3 linked regions of the Arabidopsis thaliana genome follow. The protein of the gene in region 3 interacts with the protein of the main gene of each other region in a pairwise test. Each region holds a gene or a part of one and is shown on either strand. Other genes may lie near its edges.

What was found.
Region 1: the proteins of AT4G13620 (region 3) and AT5G51980 interact in a two-hybrid assay, tested with the Arabidopsis thaliana proteins (one large-scale study listed by BioGRID).
Region 2: the proteins of AT4G13620 (region 3) and FAR1 interact in a two-hybrid assay, tested with the Arabidopsis thaliana proteins (one large-scale study listed by BioGRID).

What each region holds. Positions count from the first base shown.
Region 1 is NC_003076.8:21,112,861-21,119,366, reverse strand, and holds AT5G51980 (Transducin/WD40 repeat-like superfamily protein), read left to right. Parts: upstream 1-3,169; 5' UTR 3,170-3,318; exon of another isoform or gene 3,319-3,433; 5' UTR 3,434-3,464; coding exon 3,465-4,016; intron 4,017-4,389; coding exon 4,390-4,479; intron 4,480-4,598; coding exon 4,599-4,700; intron 4,701-4,792; coding exon 4,793-4,939; intron 4,940-5,040; coding exon 5,041-5,160; intron 5,161-5,238; coding exon 5,239-5,298; intron 5,299-5,394; coding exon 5,395-5,492; intron 5,493-5,572; coding exon 5,573-5,717; 3' UTR 5,718-6,006; downstream 6,007-6,506. Other genes in the region: IMPA-8 (importin alpha), read left to right, coding at 19-343; CBF4 (C-repeat-binding factor 4), read left to right, coding at 1,580-2,254; AT5G51970 (GroES-like zinc-binding alcohol dehydrogenase family protein), read right to left, coding at 6,083-6,275, 6,369-6,506.
Region 2 is NC_003075.7:8,610,934-8,618,670, reverse strand, and holds FAR1 (FRS (FAR1 Related Sequences) transcription factor family), read right to left. Parts: upstream 4,612-7,737; 5' UTR 4,398-4,611; exon of another isoform or gene 3,979-4,397; 5' UTR 3,866-3,978; coding exon 1,742-3,865; intron 1,646-1,741; coding exon 1,592-1,645; intron 1,472-1,591; coding exon 1,403-1,471; intron 1,309-1,402; coding exon 1,246-1,308; intron 1,154-1,245; coding exon 1,082-1,153; intron 994-1,081; coding exon 946-993; intron 855-945; coding exon 801-854; 3' UTR 501-800; downstream 1-500. Other genes in the region: catalytic LigB subunit of aromatic ring-opening dioxygenase family, read right to left, coding at 1-217; AT4G15080 (DHHC-type zinc finger family protein), read left to right, coding at 6,442-6,486, 6,572-6,685, 6,803-7,189, 7,269-7,337, 7,439-7,510, 7,591-7,719. UniProt on the Arabidopsis thaliana protein: Transcription activator that recognizes and binds to the DNA consensus sequence 5'-CACGCGC-3'. Activates the expression of FHY1 and FHL involved in light responses. Positive regulator of chlorophyll biosynthesis via the activation of HEMB1 gene expression.
Region 3 is NC_003075.7:7,929,073-7,935,547, forward strand, and holds AT4G13620 (Integrase-type DNA-binding superfamily protein), read left to right. Parts: upstream 1-3,058; 5' UTR 3,059-3,065; coding exon 3,066-4,232; 3' UTR 4,233-4,507; downstream 4,508-6,475. Other genes in the region: AT4G13630 (zein-binding protein (Protein of unknown function, DUF593)), read right to left, coding at 5,021-5,062, 5,214-6,331, 6,408-6,475.

The DNA of each region.
Region 1 (6,506 bases), on a different chromosome or scaffold from region 3:
TCCATTGGTGTGATTCAGATACATGGCGGAGCAGAGTTGCATAAAACAATTATGTGATATCCTAGTATATTCAGATGAAAGAACCACCATCTTAAAGTGTCTGGATGGATTGGAAAACATGTTGAAGGCCGGAGAGGCTGAAAAGAACAGTGAAGACGTGAACCCTTATTGTCTACTGATTGAAGATGCGGAAGGGCTAGAAAAGATTTCGAAGCTGCAAATGAACAAAAACGATGATATCTACGAGAAGGCTTATAAGATTCTGGTGACGAATTGGTTTGAAGAGGATGATGAGAACAACAACAACAACGTCCGATGTGATGATGTGGACTTTCAGGTGTGAGAGAACCAAAGTTCCAGTTCCTTATATGGAAGATCCCAACACAATTATTTGTTATAGTGAAAAAAAAACATCTTACATGGGACCAAAGGCTTTGCACCTTTGTTGTCTCAGGGCTTTACTTGGTCTTTAATTGAATGTACAAAGTTGATGTAAAAGCTTTGGCTCCATCGTTCATGGAGTCTAGTACATTGTTTTGGGTTTTAAAAGTTTTCTGTGTTAAAGCTCGTCGTCTAATTGATGTTGTGTTTGGTTTTAGTTGAAAGGTTTAGACGTTTAGTAAAAAAGTTACTCAAATTCTTGAAATCTCCTTGGCCTTGCTGATTATAAAATCAAATATTCATTTATAAAATTATGCGAAAGGGTCTAATTATTTTTGAAACCGAATCGAATGAAGACAACTCCATTTTGATTGATTTTTTTTTTGTTGTATTAAAGAATAAAAAACTCGACTGGTTCAACAAGACTGGATTGTCTTTAAACTACTGGTTCAATGTATTTTGGGTACATAATGAAAAAAATACACAATCCGCCTTGGCCACGTATCCATCTTTGGCTTAGTTGATGATGATAATACTTTTGTTTTTTGGTAAGGCTGATGATGATAATAGTTAGAAGAAGTTCATAGAATAATCCAATGGATTTCCAATAATAAAACACAGAAATAAATATAATCCAAACAATTGCCAAAAATAATGAATAAGAAAAGGGACCCACACCAAAAGCTAAAAGCGCGTGGGTCAGATTACAAAAAGCGAAACCCCAAACCGTGGCTAGACAGCGGACGAACCCGTCCCTTCAAACGTGGCTCACCTTTCGAACCACAGAGAGCAGTTTACACTCCAACTGTCAAAAACGTGTTCCCATGACGTCATCCTCAACGTATCTTTATCACTTTTTAAAACTAAAGACTGTTTTGTCTTTTTCTAAATCGTCCCCTTTCTCCGAACACCATACTTAAATTCAATAAAATAATAAATATCAAAACTGAACCATCGAATCGGAACCAGCCACAGTACACAATACACTTAGACGAAGTAAAGTGATTCAGAAGGACACGTGTAAGTCACATACCGTGGGACACTTGTCGTTACCAGATCCTCCGTGTTTCTCACTTTTCTTATAAAATAAAAACACAACACTTCTTCACTTTCTGTAATAAAAATATCTCCAAAAGTTCCAACACCTGAAAACATAAAAAGATAGAAAGAGAAATAAAACATCTTATCCAAAGAAAAAATGAATCCATTTTACTCTACATTCCCAGACTCGTTTCTCTCAATCTCCGATCATAGATCTCCGGTTTCAGACAGTAGTGAGTGTTCACCAAAGTTAGCTTCAAGTTGTCCAAAGAAACGAGCTGGGAGGAAGAAGTTTCGTGAGACACGTCATCCGATTTACAGAGGAGTTCGTCAGAGGAATTCTGGTAAATGGGTTTGTGAAGTTAGAGAGCCTAATAAGAAATCTAGGATTTGGTTAGGTACTTTTCCGACGGTTGAAATGGCTGCTCGTGCTCATGATGTTGCTGCTTTAGCTCTTCGTGGTCGCTCTGCTTGTCTCAATTTCGCTGATTCTGCTTGGCGGCTTCGTATTCCTGAGACTACTTGTCCTAAGGAGATTCAGAAAGCTGCGTCTGAAGCTGCAATGGCGTTTCAGAATGAGACTACGACGGAGGGATCTAAAACTGCGGCGGAGGCAGAGGAGGCGGCAGGGGAGGGGGTGAGGGAGGGGGAGAGGAGGGCGGAGGAGCAGAATGGTGGTGTGTTTTATATGGATGATGAGGCGCTTTTGGGGATGCCCAACTTTTTTGAGAATATGGCGGAGGGGATGCTTTTGCCGCCGCCGGAAGTTGGCTGGAATCATAACGACTTTGACGGAGTGGGTGACGTGTCACTCTGGAGTTTTGACGAGTAATTTTTTGGCTCTTTTTCTGGATAATAAGTTAGTTTAGGGATTATTTGGACATCTAGGATTGGTCCGGAGTTCCGTACCTGTATTTTTTGTTTGGTACCAAATCTTTAGTAATAAATCGTCTATCATTTATTCTTGTTAGAATGTTCTTTGTTTGTTTTTGGTAAACAGATTTGATCAAATTAGAGCTATAGAATTTGAAAATTTTGTTTTGTTGTATCTGAAACTGTAAATAGATTTCTCTTTGTTTCGTTGATGTATTGACAATCTTTACCAAATTTCCAGAGCTTATAAAAGCTTGAAACCTCTGCTTTTCCAAATATAATCCTGATTCACATTATCATATATTCCTTGTAGACTCAGCAAAAAAAATTAAAACTATAAAATCTCTTACACATTAGTCCAAACACGTGAATGAGTAATAGAGGTCCTTGACCATTAGACTGATATAGCTTCTATATTGTGGTTCTTAAAAAAGGTAGAATATTTATATGTGGCCTCAAGCTTCTCATGAGTCACGCCTTATGGTAATCATCTATCTTTTTTCTTCTAAGCAAACACTGAACACTTGGAAATCTTTTCACTAGAAAAACATGTCCCTGGCCCTCACTAACTTTACATGTCCTTTTCTTTCAGTTATAGAAGTGTGGGGTTTCTTGGCTCGCTAGATTTAAAAACCCTTCATTATGTATAGGGTTGTGCTTGTGCCTAGAACCCTTCATTCCAAGGCAAAAGCATAAACCTACAATCCGGTCTAAATCAGAACCGATTTAAACCGAGAGAAAACACTAAAGTAATTTTGTAAAATAGAGCCATCATAGGGATAAAATAGTAACTAAACAATAGACGTCAAGCTGACGCGACTGGTGTTCACTTTCTCTTTCTCTTCTACTACTTCTGTCCTCTCCACGAAGATCCAAAGCTTATAAACACATACAAATAAATCCACTCCAAAGTTTTTCTCTTTTTTCTCTGCATTATTATCACTTCACCACATTCACAACAATCCCAAATTTTTCTTTCTCATACTTTCATATTTTGATTACTACTTCTCAGAGATTCTTTTGGTAATTAGGGTTTCCTCCAATTTTGCAGCTTGATTTATCTATATACCAATCGGAAAAATCCTTACTTTTAAGTTCGGTCTTGTGTTAATTTGCGTCTGTTGTTATTGTAATCTAGAGAAAGAGAGTGAGAGGCAATAAAAAAAGCTATGGATTTCGATTTGAACGGAGGAAACAAACGAGTCTTCAACAGACTCGGTGGCGGTGGCGGGTCAACTCGTCCGATGGCACCAACGGATACAAGACAAAAGGTTTGTTTCCACTGGCGAGCCGGGCGTTGTAATCGTTCTCCTTGTCCTTATCTACATCGGGAATTACCGGGTCCTGGTCCGGGTCAAGGTCAAGGCCCGGGTTATACGAACAAAAGGGTCGCTGAGGAATCTGGTTTCGCGGGTCCGAGTCATCGGAGAGGACCTGGGTTTAATGGGAACTCGAGTAGTAGTTGGGGGAGATTTGGTGGGAACAGAACGGTGACGAAGACTGAGAAAGTTTGCAACTTTTGGGTAGATGGGAATTGCACATACGGTGATAAGTGTAGATACTTGCATTGTTGGAGTAAAGGAGAGAGCTTTGCGTTGTTGACTCAGCTTGATGGTCATGAGAAGCTTGTTAGTGGTATTGCTTTGCCTTCTGGTTCTGATAAGCTTTACACTGGAAGTAAAGATGAGACCTTGCGTGTTTGGGATTGTGCTTCTGGACAGGTATGGTTTGCTCAAAGGACCTTAAGCTTTCCTCAGTGATAGAATTGTTTGGTTAGGATATAGAGTGGCTTTAGAGAATGCAGTTGTTGTCCATGGATGTTATTGTTGTCCTCTCTAGCTAGAAAACCATGTTTGATGAATAGTTATAACTGCTTGGTTAAGATTTAGAGTGACACAAGAGACTGCAATTTGTCATAAGTAGAGTAGTGAGCACTGATATATCGATGGAAATTGGTGTCTTTGTTGTCAAATTAGGAAAGGAAGTGTCTAATTCGCTGATGCTGATTGTATTTGAGGAATGCATTTTCTGATCTTGTGAAAGACTGTTTCAAGTTTACTTATCGTGGATATTGTTCTTTTCTCTTTTGATTAGTGTACAGGAGTACTCAAACTTGGTGGGGAAATTGGCTGTGTGCTTAGTGAAGGCCCGTGGCTATTAGTTGGCATGCCAAACCTTGTCAAGGCAAGTATTCAGTATGATTCCTCTTAACAGTACTTTTCTTTGACTGTCACAATAGATATCGAGGAACCCTTTTCATTCTTAGATGCTTATGGGGTTATGTCTCATTGTTGTTGATACAGGCGTGGAATATTGAAACCAATGCTGACCAGAGTCTAAGTGGACCTGTTGGCCAAGTCTATTCTCTTGTTGTGGGTACTGATCTGCTCTTTGCTGGAACACAGGTAAATTTCCAAGTTTTCTTTTCTTGCTGAGATCTCTGCGAAATAGTCGGCTTTTGGTTATATAAGTGACAAGTTCTTTACATTCTGTGCAGGATGGCTCTATTTTGGCATGGAGATATAATGCTGCCACTAACTGTTTTGAACCATCAGCGTCACTGACGGGCCATACACTTGCAGTTGTTACCTTATATGTTGGGGCGAACAGACTTTATTCGGGTTCCATGGACAAAACTATAAAAGTAAGTACTAGTATTATCTATTATATTTGAATTGAAAACTCTCACTATTTTTTTCTTTCTTTGAGCTAATCTTTTTGGTTTATATGTTTTTTGTTTGATAGGTTTGGAGTTTGGATAATCTACAGTGTATACAAACACTCACTGATCATTCATCAGTTGTGATGTCTCTCATTTGCTGGGATCAATTCCTTTTGTCTTGTTCATTGGACAACACGGTTAAGGTTAGTTCGTCTTTCTTTAACTTTCATAAATTTCTTAAGTTTCATTCTTTCTCTTGTTAATGTGTTTTTCCGCTGTAGATATGGGCTGCAATCGAAGGTGGCAATTTGGAAGTAACATATACTCACAAAGAAGAACATGTATGGTTTCTTTTATAAATGTGTTACCTTCTCTTATGGTCCTAATCTATATGTTATGTGACTAAGAAATTTTGGCAATGTTTAAACTGGATTCAGGGAGTGCTAGCTCTATGTGGTGTACATGATGCAGAAGCCAAGCCTGTTTTGTTATGCGCTTGCAATGACAACACCTTGCGCCTCTACGACTTACCATCGTAAGACTTTCAACGTTTATGTATGAATTCTTCATCTCTTTCTCTCTTATTGGTTCTGATAGCTTAGGTTTGTTCATTAGATTTACGGAGAGGGGAAAAATCTTTGCAAAGCAAGAGATACGGGCGATCCAGATAGGTCCCGGGGGCATATTTTTCACGGGTGACGGAACTGGTCAAGTTAAAGTATGGAAATGGTGCACTGAACCAACCGCGGCTTTGCCTTGAGAAAGTTTGATGCTATCGTCAAAGAGATGTTTTCTACGATTTTCTTGTACCATTATATATGAGTCTATTTTGGAGACTTTTCTTTCTTGTTGAGGTCCTCCTAGTAGAAGCCACGGTCTGATGAAATGGACAGTGGCCAAGATCGTGTCATGTTAGGAGTTTTGAGACAGAATCGGGAGAATTTAGGTCCCTTTTTGTCCAATTTCAGCATTTGTCTTGTAACGCTTGGATTGTATTGGTCAATTTATCATAAAGGATTATCTTATTCAAGAGAGATTCAGAGTTGATATACAATGGATAACAAAGTTACAGAAGCTTCCTTATTATGAAACCTTAATATGTTCTTAGAAAAGCAAAGATTGTTTTCAGAGATTGAACATAACTTTGATGGCATTGCTCCCACGAGCACTGGTTTCAAAGGCATCTTCCACTTCCTTTTGAGAGAAACCGAATCTGTGGGTTATGAGTGGCTTTACATCAATCTTACCACTTGTCAGGAACTCAAGACACAATGGCCATGTGTTCTTGTACCTGAACACACCCACCACATCTACCTCCCTGTCTCCAAACCAACACATTTACTTGGTTATTATGTGATTGTACTTTTCAAAAGTTAGAAAGTTTCTTACTATGATGGTCAAAGGAGGTTACCTTGCAGCTGCAGGAGTGAGAGGGACAGTCATTATACCGTGACCCATTCCGACAAGACAGACTTTACCGCCACAACGAGTGGCTGCTAATGCTGTCGACATGGTTTTGTTAAAACCCGCACAGTCGAATGTTACATCG
Region 2 (7,737 bases), 680 kb from region 3:
AGCCAGAGAAATCGTGGATCGTGTTATTGCGAAGAACAGTGTTGACAGATGGGAATTTGGTGTCCCAATGAGCAGAGATGACTAAAATCGATTTGGGTTTTTGAGGAAGAACTTTTTGAGTCCATGATTTGAAGAATTGTCTCGCTTCCAAGGAATCATCTATGCTCAAAGTTGGAGATCCATGAGATAAGAAGAAGGTTTGATTCACTTTCTCCATTGAAAATTGAAATCTCTCGAGATCTTTGCCTCTCTTTTTTTTTTTTTGCAAATGTTTCTTTTGACCAACTCTATTAGTTTTGGTTCTTCCCCAGTTTTGATGTTGTCTGAATAAAGAAACCTTTTCTGTTTGTTTGTTTTGTCAAAAGGGACACACCTACATACGACAACGACCAGGGAATGTGTATTTAACCAAATTAACCACATTTAATCTAAAAATAACTTTTTGTTTCTACTAAATAAGTTGAAACCTGTTTTAACAATTTTGATTTAATGTGATCTCAAAATTACTTGTTTGACTAATACACAGAGGATAGATTTCTATGTGTTTAGATAAAGATGTTGTTACAAGTGCATCTATTAAATCTCAAGACATTCAATCAGATAACACAATATTTCATCCCACATTAATACATCATAAGGCAATCCCATAATATACAGAAACCAATTTAAGAAAAGATTACATCTTGTCATTGCAACTCAGCTCCATGAAAGATCTTGTGTTTTTCTCATGTTTGGAACAGCTTCTTGCAAATGTTTCCTGAGACAAAACTTCTCTCCAAAGTAATCAAAACGTGTTGCTACTATAGCTGCCTTGATGAACTACCAGGTAATTGGGCAGAACTCAAATGCTCTTCCTGGAATAACGAAAAGATTTAACGATATCAACACGTGTGGTTCGAGTACAAAATGATACTAAAGTAAAGACTTTATCCAGGCAGCTGAGACCTGTAAAGTGTAAGTGAAATTGGGAGGAGGTCTGAAATCGATTTGACCCTGGACCGGACAATAAACAAAAGATGTTAACAACACGATCATTCATAACACAGTTTTTAAAATCAGTTTGAAGGATTTTATAATGTACCACCATCCCAGACATGGCTTGCTGATTCGTGAAGAAGCTATCCTGCGCCGGTGCTATCGAATTCAGTTGTCCCTGAAGAGTCAAAAGAACCAAAATTCATGTCGTTGACTTATACTCTAGCACAGATTTGGGAGATTCAAGCATTTAAACTATATGTAACCTACCAGGCCTTGGATGGTTCGTTGATCTACATAGTAGCCTTCATGAGGTGGCTCCATTAAATTTAACTATATCCACAGTTTAAACAGGTTTAGTATTAGGGTTTATAATAGATGTCGAATGGCTTAACCAGGTTTGTATTAATCAACTAACATAGCATACCAGTCCTTGAACGTTCTGTTGAGGACCATAGTAACCATTCATGTCCATCGCCTCTGAACTTATAGTTTCCTGCACAAAATGTTAAAACTATAAGGCCATATATCCAAGACATCCTACTCTTAATCTCATAAAGCAATGTGCAGTTACAATGATCAAACTAATTAGAGAAGATCAAATCAAAGCACAAACCATTGGTTGCAAGCTCTGTTGAGATTCAAGCATTTGGCTAGCCTCTTGTTGTCCCTGCATAAGATCAATTTGAGTATCTTCTTTTTAACCTTTGAAGCTAAGAAAATGTACGTAGGTTTAGATTGGCGAGAAGCTTCAGTAAAAGCATACCTTTCTTTTCCTATATACAGTCTTCTTTTTTGTTGCTTTTACCCCAGCCATTACCTGGTTTTCTTCTTCGTGAGTACCATTATTAAGCTGGCTATTAGACTCAGTGATGTTGTTTCTAGCATTATTCATATCAACACAATTTTTCAGGGTCTCGACTAGTGTGCGCAATGCGATGTTGTAGTTTTCTTCTGACACACAACCTTCCTCACTCAATTCAGTGGCTCGACTACACAAATCGTTATAGCGCTGAACTCGGGTCTGTATCTGGTCTGCTCCTTCACCAGCTAATACTCCACTCTTAGCATCTTTTGTCCACCTTTTCAATATATACTGAGGCGGGATGCTGGCGAAACCACACATCTGCAGAATCATCAAAGCATGCCGACAAAGAAACCCTTTGTATTCAAACATACGACAGAAGCAGCAAAGTTCTGACTTAGTTTTGCTCCACGTTACAAGAAAGTCATCGTCTTTTTCACAGTCTTGAACTCTAAACGTCGCCATATTTTCATCTTCTTTTTCCTTTCTAGGATGGCAAGCGACAACCCCCAAGACCTCGACTTGAAATTTCTTAAATATTGTGTGGGTGTAAGTTGTTGCCATTTGCTTCTCCCAGGGCGAGGGGGACTTCAATGCAGGTTGCTTGTGGCAAGTATCGAAATCTGCAACAGATTCCTCTTCGTACCTATTCTGCAGAATCACACCGTATTGCCTCAAGAACTCTTTCAGCGTGATTTTCTTATGGATGTACTTATCGAAGAAAGAGTTCACACTTTCTGAACGTTGAGATGTCGACATGCCTGCCAGAAACACATCGCTCATAAATGTGGGCACCCACTTTTGGCGATGTTCATGCAACCATAGCAGCCATTCATCATTCTCAAGTCCAAACTGGCTGACCATTTTCCACCACCTCATATCAAACTCATCATCTGTCCAAGATCTGAAAATGCATTTGTTGAATTTCAGTAAGAAATTCTCGTGCCGTTTCATCACATGTGAGAAATATTCAGGAATCTTTTCTAAAACATGCCATAACGCAAAGCAATGACGAGTGTTTGGTAGGAGCTCTGAAACAGCAGACATCAAGAATTTATCTTGGTCAGTGAGTATAACTTTAGGAGCTCGACCACCCATTGCTCGTAGCCATGTTTTTATCAGCCACACAAAAGTCTCCATAGACTCATCAGCAACCAATGCACAGCCTAGTAACATAGGTTGGGAGTGATGGTTCACCCCAATAAATAAAGCTAGTGGCAACTTATCGTTAAACTTGACATAAGTAGTATCAAAGGATACAACATCATTGAAACTCAAATAGTCATCTCTGCTCTTGGCATCAGCCCAAAACAGATTTCTTAAACGTTGGTCCTCGTTCAGGTCTATAGCATAAAAGAATTTAGGGTTTTCTTTCTTGATACGCTTGAAGTACTCAAGCAGTACTTGAGAATCTCCTTCTTCCAAAGCTAGATACCTACCCTTATCAACCTGACTGCTGACATCGGTCTGAAGAAGAGACCCGATATTCTTATATCCGCCAGATTGTCTCGACATTTCAACATACATTTTTTTGGTCCGTTCACTAACCGCATGCAGAATGTCGATATTATTCTTCTCAGCTAACTTGACATTCCTCTGAATCCGGAAATGATAAGCAAGGGCAGGTAAAAGTTCGTGATTGTGATCCTTTACAAACTCATGAATGATCCATTTCCCATCTGGTCTTCTCTTCACATGCATACTAGCCTTGCAATCTGTTTTTTTCACAGTTGACCTTCGACTACTACTACCACTACTCTCAGACTCAGGAGTCACACCATATCTGGAACAAGCAAACTTAGCATCAATGAAGTCTTTAGTTTTCTTGGAACGTCTACTGTTTTTAATCGACGTAGTAAAACCCATAGATTTTGCATATTCCTGATAAAAGATATACGCTGCCTCATGGGTATCAAAGTCTATACCATTTCGTGGCTCAAGATCCAGATCACCACTAAATCCAACATCTCCACCTATATTGAACTCATCAACAATTCCTATATCTCTGTTACTATGCGGTTCAACTACAATGTCAACCATATGGTCATCCCCTGCATCACTAACCAGATTCTCTTGCAAATCCATCCTAACCTTAGCCACATATGGATTCACTAACACACTCAAAAGCAACTACCCCACTATGGGCTTCCATGAAATTGGAAACTGAAATCTTTCTACTAGATAATCCACCTTAGCACCTGAAAAATGTCACAACCAAACTTCATAAGAACCAGCGCGACATCTTCTACCTAAAAACATCAAACTTGAAACACACAAAGCAATATGAAATCAATGGAATCAAATGAAAGTGAAGAACTTTCAACAACATAACTTCTAATAGTAGAAAAGTTCTGTTTCTAAAGCCAAAAAAGAGTAAAATTTCACACAAATAAGAGAAGGAGACCTGAGAACTCAAACTAAGAGAGTCAGAGACAACATACTTCTAGTAGTAGAAAAGTTCTGGTTCTAAAATTTCAGTGAAAGAACTGAACTTTCATTAGTATCAGCATAAAAGACAGAGACTTTAATGTATCTTAAGAGAAAACCTGAGAATTCAAATGAAGAGACTACAAAATTCAGGAAATGTCAAACTTTTGGATTGGTGAGGGCTTTTTACTGTATTTTCTCGGCCACCCAGAGAGAGACAAAGGGAGGGAAGGCAAAATTCTGACGTGAAAAGAGCAAAGCAAAGAAGAACACGAAGCAGGCGAGTGGGGAAGCAAAAGCGAGTGAGGAACCAAGGAGCGTGAGAGGAGAAAATCTAGGGTTCTTTTTGGGAATTTTTAGGGATCTTGGATTATGTTTTTATTTTTATTTTTTTCATTTGTTGTAAATCTCTTACTAGCCTTTACTAATTAAACATAAAGGCTTTTTGATTGGTAACACGTGTAATGACATAATGACGTTTGTTTTCGACGCGATTTTTTTTCATAATCGCGTCTATATTTACGTTTGGCGTGTGAGAAGCATTGCTGATTTATGTATTCTTAGAAAAATTGATTATTTTAAAAGCATCAGCATTGTGATTTTTTACCAAAATCTCTCGCCTACATTAATAATAATAAAATAATAAACAATATTTTTTTAATTAAAACAATTTCTAAGAAAATATGAGAAAGTTTTTAATTTAAAAGATTTGAAAAAACTATTTTAAAAAACTCTTCAAATTAAATATTTTTTTTATTATTATTACTTTAGTAAATTAAAAACTTTGGTTAGAAACCACCACTACACATGTTCTAAAAGATTTTAATTTTAACTGTATGATAATCTTCTTTTCATACAGTTTACTATAATTTTTCCACATTTTTCAAAAGAGTTATGTAGTAAACTAAATTTATCATAACTTTTAATATGATTTTTACATCTATTTTTATGATTTTTACATAACTATTAATATCTACAGTTTTTTTTTTATTATAAGTTCAAATAAAACAAAAAATACAAGAATATTAAAATAAATAACATTAAATCTATTTTTGTACATATGAGATACATGCTTATTCTTATTATGACAAATCAAGTATACTTTTTTTTTTAATCTTTACCGTCATTTTTTCTATATATATGTGGGTATCTCATATTCTATATGTAATATGCTAATCAATTACATGATGTTGATGGCTTTCACATCAAAACAGAGCTGACATTTGCCACCAAATATAAATAAAACTGTAGGGCAAATTGTACGAGAGTTGTGCTCTGAGTCACTTGCTTTTAGATTTAGTTATGGAGTTACAAATGCAGGGTTTGCATCTTATCTTTTAATATTTTTTTTCTTTTCTACTCACATATCTTTTTTTTTATGTGGAGTGGAAGATAATTGTTTTTAATTCATTTAATATTTTTTGATTTAATTCCTTTTTAAACAGCAAAATCTTTTAATATTTGATTTAATTTGGCTAAATTCTTCTAAAAATCTGAAATTTAGACATTAAATAACTTTCTAATATATATATATTTAAGTATTACTGAGAACTTTTTAATATTATATAAAAATTATATTATTTAATTAATACTTTAAGCTACCATATTATCATTAATAATGGTTATATAATTTAAAAATAATTAAAATTTGCTACGGAAAAAAAGAAAATATCAAAGAGGTGAAATAGACACGTAAGCTAAAAATCCAGCGTTGGTACTAATAGTAACCAGTAACCACTTTCATTTGTCCGTCTCGCTCTTTTAGCCTGTCAACGCTTTTCTATTTTGTCTTTTTTCTTTCTTCTAAAAATTCTCTCTTTTATTCCTTCTTCCATTTCTCTCTCTCTTCTTCCTTCTCCAGTTACTTTGGTCTCCGCCATGGCTACACAGTAAGCTTTTTCTTCGCTATTCGACTCTAAATTTGCTAACTTTGAATTCGCTTAGGTCATCTCTAATTTCACATTCGTTATTTTTCTTTTATTTTCAATTTAATATATTACAGGAGTTTACTTTCCTCTTTCGTCACTTGACTATGACTGACCTACCATAGTTAGTTAGATAGGGAGAGATACGAAGACCAAGAAGATATTTTCTCAGCTTGGTTTCTCTTATATCCTTCTGGGTTTCGCAAAACTGCAAGCAAAATTGTCTCTTTTTACGATTTGCGGCGGCGTTAGGGTTTCGTTTAGATTTTGTGATTCGTGAGTGTGTTCAAGCTTTGGGAGGAAGCAAAAATGGTGAGGAAACATGGTTGGCAACTTCCTGCTCACAAATTTCAGGTCTTTTATTTCAACCTTTCTCTGATTTTCTCCAATTTCTAACATTTGGGTTTTAGTTCATTTGTTTCGTTTGGTCATGAAACAGGTGGTTGCGATTACGGTGTTCTGCTTATTGAGTGTAGCATACTATGCGTTTTTCGCTCCTTTTGTTGGAGGACGCATCTGGGAGTATATTCTTCTCGGTGTTTACTCTCCTGTGGTATGTACTAGAATCGCTTTAGAGAATGATAAGGAATTGATAAGAGCTAGGTAGGTACATGGTAGTTTTGCATATCTGATACCCTTTTGCTTCTTGTGTCATGTGTTTGTTTTGCAGGCTCTTATTGTTTTCGTTCTTTATGTTCGTTGTACTGCAATCAATCCTGCTGATCCAGGAATCATGTCGAAATTCGAAAGAGGTGCGAGTAGAGGTGGTGACTTACCTACTGCCAAAGATATCTCGAGAAAATTTGATGAAACGGGCAGCCACCTGCAGTCTTCCCCTTCGGTTGCTTCCAGGACTTCTACTTTACCAAACTCTAGTGTGAAAGGTTCTGTTGGAGATGCTCAAAGAGTGGAAGCTGCTAAAAGAAAATCTTGCTTTAATCCGTTGGCAATATGCTGTGGCGTGTTTGTTTATGAAGATTGTCGTAGCAAAGAAGAGACGGATGAGCAGCAAGGGGATAGGGAAGAAGCTCTGTTTTGCACGTTGTGCAATGCTGAGGTAATGTGTTAATATTGGTTTATGCTTGAAGAGTAAGAAGCAACTACTAAATCCTTTGTTCACCTTGGTTTTGTGACAGGTCCGTAAGTTTAGCAAGCATTGTCGAAGTTGCGACAAATGTGTAGATTGTTTCGATCATCATTGCCGGGTAAATTTCTTACTGTTATGATAATTAACTGTTTCTTGGAGTTGATTGACTAGAGTTTTATGGGTGTGATCAAATGACATAGCTGTATTTAAATGCAACAGTGGCTTAACAATTGTGTTGGTCGCAAGAATTATATGACTTTTATATCGCTGATGGCTGTCAGTCTTCTCTGGGTACGTATATTCTCCTGATATGCCTTTTCTCAAGCTCACTTTTTGCTTACCAGTAATCAATAAATCTTTCTCTTTCTCAGCTCCTTATAGAAGCAGGAGTTGGAATTGCAGTTATAGTGCGTGTATTTGTTAATAAGAAGGACATGGAAACAGAAATCGTCAATAGACTTGGAAATGGATTTTCTCGGGCACCTTTTGCCACAGTTGTTGTAAGTATTCTTAGTGTA
Region 3 (6,475 bases):
GAGTAAGAAATATATTTCAAAGTACTTGCGTAAATAATTTAGATAGTGAATAAAAACATTTGTGACCAATAGAAAGAAAACAATAACGACAAAATTAAAAATTCAGCAATTGAAATAGAGGAATATGGCTCCTCCATCAACACAATTTCTTATTTTTCAGCTTTAATTATAGTATAAATCTAACAAATGTTTTAATATTTAATAGAAGCACAAATCGTATGTATATGAAATTTATTTCAGATTAATACAATGATATGTACTAGGCCGTCTGTTGCTATTCTCTATCAACATTTGTTTTTCTTTTGGTCTTTGACAAAAAAAAAAAAAAAAAATGCTCTATCCGTAGATTTTGAGTTTTAAGCTTAAACAATTGTTTATAGACACGCTTATCTCACTCGGAAGCTCAGCCATTAACTTTTTATTGAAACATATAACGGCAAAATAGTGGTATATATTTCGAAAAAAAATCATGAAATCTAATAGAACATGTAGCAGTAAACAAATTTTTTTAATTATTTATGTATAAAATAAAATAATTATTGGAATATAACATTAAAAGGGTAGAACCTGTATTTTCTTCAATAAAGCAAAATCATAGACAATTGCTAACATTTTTTATATGTCTATTCTATTTTATATTAACGTACGAAAGTAAAATGTGAAATGTTTTGAGATCGAGAATGCTATTTTTATGAAAACAAATAACGAAATTGGAAAAATGAATTAGTAAACCAGATAAAGTCATATGTTGTCACTTGTTTTTTTTTTTGTTTTTTTTTAATGTTGTCACTTGTCATCATTTTATATTATGTTTTTTATGTCCTATCTATAAATGATAGAAAATAGAGATATTATTTAATAAACAAAACCTCCTTAAATATTTGTTTTTGAGATGATGTATTTAGGAATGTCGTATAATAGCGCCAACTTGCTAATTTATATTGAGTATTAGTTTTTAAATTATGAGACAGTGACCAAAGCAATTTTTTTATGAAAAGTTCTAATATAATTGTAGCCTTTTTTCATTAGATGTCTGGTATACATGGTTAAAAATGTCTTCACGGTGACCATCAGTGATTAAAGCCCATACTAAGACATACATTTACTATTAAAATATGTTAGAGATCAAATTGGATCAAATTAATTTACATGAAACTGGAATAGGTTAAAAATAAAAATAAGAAAGAAATACTTTTTTCCTCTGATTTTTTTGGTCAACTGCTTTTTTTTTTCCTCTTAAGCCTTTTTATAAATTTTATTTTGTCGTTAACATTTTGTTTCCATAAATCAAATAATAATTCTTTTCGTAAAACGACCCAACAGTCATCTCAAAGGACAAAATGTGCATCATCTCAAATTAGAATACGAAGCTTCCAATTCGACCCTTATCTTACCTGTTTGATTCATTGTTAAACATGTTTAATGAACTATATTATATTAAAAAAAGAAACTTATATCTTGATTAGTTACTTAAATTTAGTCTCAAAATCTAAATTGACAATATAAAAAATTGGAGTAACTAAAGATGAAGCAAGAGATGAGTATATGCGTCGGAAAAAGTGTTCTTGCAAGGAATTGTATCCATTGTAACAGTGACTAACATGAACGAACAGAATAATTTATGGGTGAATCCGATTAATTTAAAAAGTTAAGAGACCACATCAGCAAGTTATTACAATATTGTAAAATAAAGAAGCAGACATAAACTGATGTTCTAGAGAGGAAAAGAAGACAACCCATGACTTCCGCATTAGTTGGATTCAATTAGAGGCCAAAACTTGAAGCTAATCATTGTATTTGGATGATAATATTAATAATTATGGGCTCACTAATTATAAGCATTTGTGGTGATTATCTGTGCTAAACTATACGTGGTTTACAAATTAAATTTTATTCTCCAATTAGATAAATGTTATCATGAAATATCGTTTCAATAATGTTTTCTTGGTATCACATCGCTCCAATAATTAGTCCCGTACAACTGTAATTAAGAAGTTTAATAATTACTATTCAGTATGTATTCAGACGTACATATATATATATATAGATATATTTTTTGTAATTTGCATTTCACAGCGGATCACTAAATATACATTAAACATTTGTGTATTCATCTATATATATTACTATAATATAATAGTGAAAATTTATGTTTTTTGAGATGGAATCTAGCAAAGAAAAGTCCTATACTGTATGGTCCAAAGTCATATTCCTAGGTTTCGCCTTAAAAACTCTAAAGATAACTAAACAGACGAGAATAATAAATTAAACACAGTTAGAATCGTTTGTTTATTGAAAAAAAAAAGCTTAAAGAATGCTTAAAGATTAAGGTTCTTACAAGAAATATATATATCTTAGTAAGGGAAACCAAATTTACATATAAAAAAAATATAAAAAAAATTGGTACTTCTTTTTCTTGCTATGACTTTGAATATACTACAGATTTAATGTTCTAAGTTTAATTAACAAGATATTGAACATTAAACCACATCCTTTTTATTTTTCGTGTACTGTATATACATATATATTGAATATATATCTCTTATTAACAAGATATAACAATAATGTAATATTAGTACAACCATCAAATTGAAAAGCAAATTTCGTATTTATACAATATGAAAAAACTAGAAGAACTTTTAAATATTTAAAGTGACCAAATGAAAACAACGTTGGTATCCAACAACAACATCATTCGTAAAATTTAAATATAAAACCCTATACCAAAAAAAAAACAATATATGGCTATATATAACACCTAAATGAGTTAGGGCTAAGCTGTCACGTTTGGATTGATAAGTTATAAGAAAAAGCGAACGTAAAATGGAGGCCACGAACAAGTCGCAAGATAAGAAAAAATAAAGGTCAAATTATTGTTTATGAAAGAAAAAAATACAAAATATTAACAATAATATTGTTTAACCAAAAGTGTTTGTGAGACTCTTTAATTCTCTAGTTTACATATGAACAAATTAAGCTTGGCAGAGCGTAGATCTGAGTCAGATGATAATGTTTTTTTCGGACAATAAAGTTAGGTTCCTTAAATTTTCTAATATTATCTCCACATGATCACACCAATACACACACAACACTCCTTAATTCTCGTATATATAAACATTTATTCTCCACCTATTTTGTCAAAATTAAGAACAGGCTTCATTCTCTGGACAAACACTCAAAAAACAAACAAAAAAAGGAACATGGAAGATCAGTTTCCTAAAATAGAAACTAGCTTCATGCACGACAAGCTCTTGTCTTCTGGAATCTACGGGTTCTTGAGTTCTTCGACGCCGCCACAACTTCTCGGTGTTCCAATATTTTTGGAAGGTATGAAATCTCCTCTTCTTCCTGCTTCTTCGACTCCGAGCTACTTTGTGTCGCCTCATGATCATGAGCTCACATCTTCTATTCATCCATCTCCGGTAGCTTCTGTTCCTTGGAACTTTCTAGAATCTTTTCCTCAGTCTCAACATCCTGATCATCATCCTTCTAAACCTCCAAACCTTACTTTGTTCCTTAAAGAACCAAAGCTACTAGAACTTTCTCAATCCGAAAGCAACATGAGCCCTTACCATAAATACATCCCAAACTCCTTTTATCAATCAGACCAAAACAGAAACGAATGGGTAGAGATCAATAAAACTCTAACCAACTATCCCTCGAAAGGTTTTGGAAACTATTGGCTAAGTACCACCAAGACTCAACCCATGAAGTCAAAAACAAGAAAGGTTGTTCAGACGACGACCCCAACAAAACTGTATAGAGGAGTGAGACAAAGACACTGGGGCAAATGGGTCGCAGAGATTAGGCTTCCAAGGAACAGAACCCGTGTTTGGCTCGGCACTTTTGAAACCGCTGAGCAAGCAGCAATGGCTTACGATACAGCAGCTTATATCCTTCGTGGCGAATTCGCACACCTCAACTTTCCTGATCTTAAACACCAGCTCAAGTCCGGTTCTTTGCGATGCATGATCGCCTCACTTTTGGAGTCCAAGATTCAACAGATCTCATCTTCCCAAGTAAGTAACTCTCCTTCTCCTCCTCCTCCAAAAGTGGGAACACCGGAGCAAAAGAATCATCACATGAAGATGGAGTCAGGAGAAGACGTGATGATGAAGAAACAGAAAAGCCATAAGGAAGTGATGGAAGGAGATGGTGTACAATTGAGTAGGATGCCTTCTTTGGATATGGATCTCATTTGGGATGCTCTCTCATTTCCTCATTCTTCTTGACTTCAAATTAATATTTGTCAAACTTATTTTACTTACTTCTACCCTTTTTTATATCAAAAGTTTCCACCAAAGAAAGAAATTCATATTATGATGCCAAGATTGGTTTGCATTTGGGGTTGAACACATTGTAATTCTTCTTACGACCACATAATCAAGTGGTTCTCCTTTTTTTGTCTGCTAATTAATTGTTCTTTTCTTTGCGGTTACTAGTAACCATAAAATAGAAAAGTGTTTGTTTTCTAATGAGAAAATATTATAATTCTGTTGCACCAACTCCAACTTTAAAAGTCCAATGTTAGAATATTTCCTACATTCTATACTAAAGCTCAAAGGTCAATAGAGAATATGAATAGTAATAGGGCAGAGAAGCGTTAAAGGGCAAATATGAATTTAGATTATCTTTTCTTTTGTCAACAACTACAATATGAGTTTCTACAACCAAATAAAAAGTTGATTATATAACTTTAGAAATAATTATGTCATTTTTAGCTTCAATTGTATTTCCGAATATGCAAACAAAAGTGAAAAATCTAAAGTTTTGGCACAGAAATAGAAAGAGGACAAGTATCACTTATTTGGAAAGAGAAGAAACTTAAACTTTTTACCGACCACAAAAGCGTCAATTTTTGTTTCGAAACGACGCCGTTTAGAGTACAAAGTACAATACTCTCCCGGCAATAACCAACATTAGAGTTTTGGCAGAGATTGTTACAAAACTACACTTGCTCATGTTTTCACTAGGCGTATAATCGTGTCGTGTTATTTCGAGTAAGTACATACCTTGCAGTTCAAGCACTATGCAGGTCCAGTGGCATAGACATAGCCTTTACCTGCAAAAACACCATTTGAAACCATACAAGATTCAGCCACTTGGTAAGCAAAAAACCATGGAAGATTTAACTACCAAGAACTGTGAAACAAAGAGAGCACTCTTAGCAATTTTTCAACCCTCATATCAAAGCACACAACGATGAAACTCACCATTGTGGATGAAGGGCTAGAAGAGTCAAGATGTCCAGATCTTCTAGCCTCCCAAAACCGGCTTGTTTTATCTCCACAACGCTGTACCTGCGATTTGCTCTGATCTTTGGAAGAAAAACTGATCTTCTCTCTTCCCTTTTGTACAGCTCTTAACCGACCTCTCAGCAACCCAACTTCACTCTCTATTTTCAGTCTTTCATAGTCAATAGCTGACATTGAATTTCTTCGCATATTGGTAGACATGTTACTTTTCCCTTGTGGAAATGCATAACTTGTATCTGAAACACTTTGTGATCTGTCCAGTTTCAGATCCTGAGTGGCATGGTCAGAAGGAACATTCAGTTGCCCCTTGTTATCTTCATCAGTCACTACATGGATGTCATGTACATGACAATCAATGTCGTGAGGGTCCTCACAAAGCTTCTTAGAAACAGCAATGTCGCTAGTTCTTGATACTAGTTCTGCATATAAAGTTTCACCTTCCTCTCTTTCTTTCAGTTCTATATCACTCAGGGCATCAAATGGCTCACTTCTTGACTGATCACACTCAGTATTGTCCATCTGATTAGTGAAGATCTCAAATCCAGAAGAGACATTCACAGTCTCCATGTCATCCCATGGTTCAGTAATCTGTTGCGGCGTCTGCAATCTTTCGATTTGAGCTGGTTTAGAATCTGGAGTATTGTGAGGTTGCTCAGTCTCAAGAAACATTTGCCTGTAGGTATCAACTTCCTTCTCCAGAAAATGTTTCTCCCTCTCCCTCCTAAGCAAAATTTCTTTAAGAATACTCATCTCTTCCGCATCAAAAGCAGACTTTTCTTCTATCATCCGCTGATATTGCCTAGCTTCCATCTCTATCGACGCCTTTTCTTCTTGCAACCGTAATATCATACCTAAAGCCTCATCTGCAGCAGATGCAGCAGCATTTCTCTCTTTCTCAAGTTCAAGAGCTAACGAAGCACGTGCAGCTCGTTCTTCCCCAAGCACTTGTTCTGACATCTCAACCGTCCTCTGTACCATACCAGGGGAACTGCATGCACCCTCTCCCACTCCACACCCAACAGAACTTAGTGAAACACTTTTCCGCAACGACACATCCTCCAATGCTTTTCCACTATCTACAATGTTACAACTTGCATCAAAATCAACATTCACTATCCAATATAATTGAATAAAGACAACAAAAAAACTTACCATTGGAGTTCACAAGAAGAGGATCATTTTCATCATATGATCCCTCAAAGCTCTTAAGGCCTAAACAA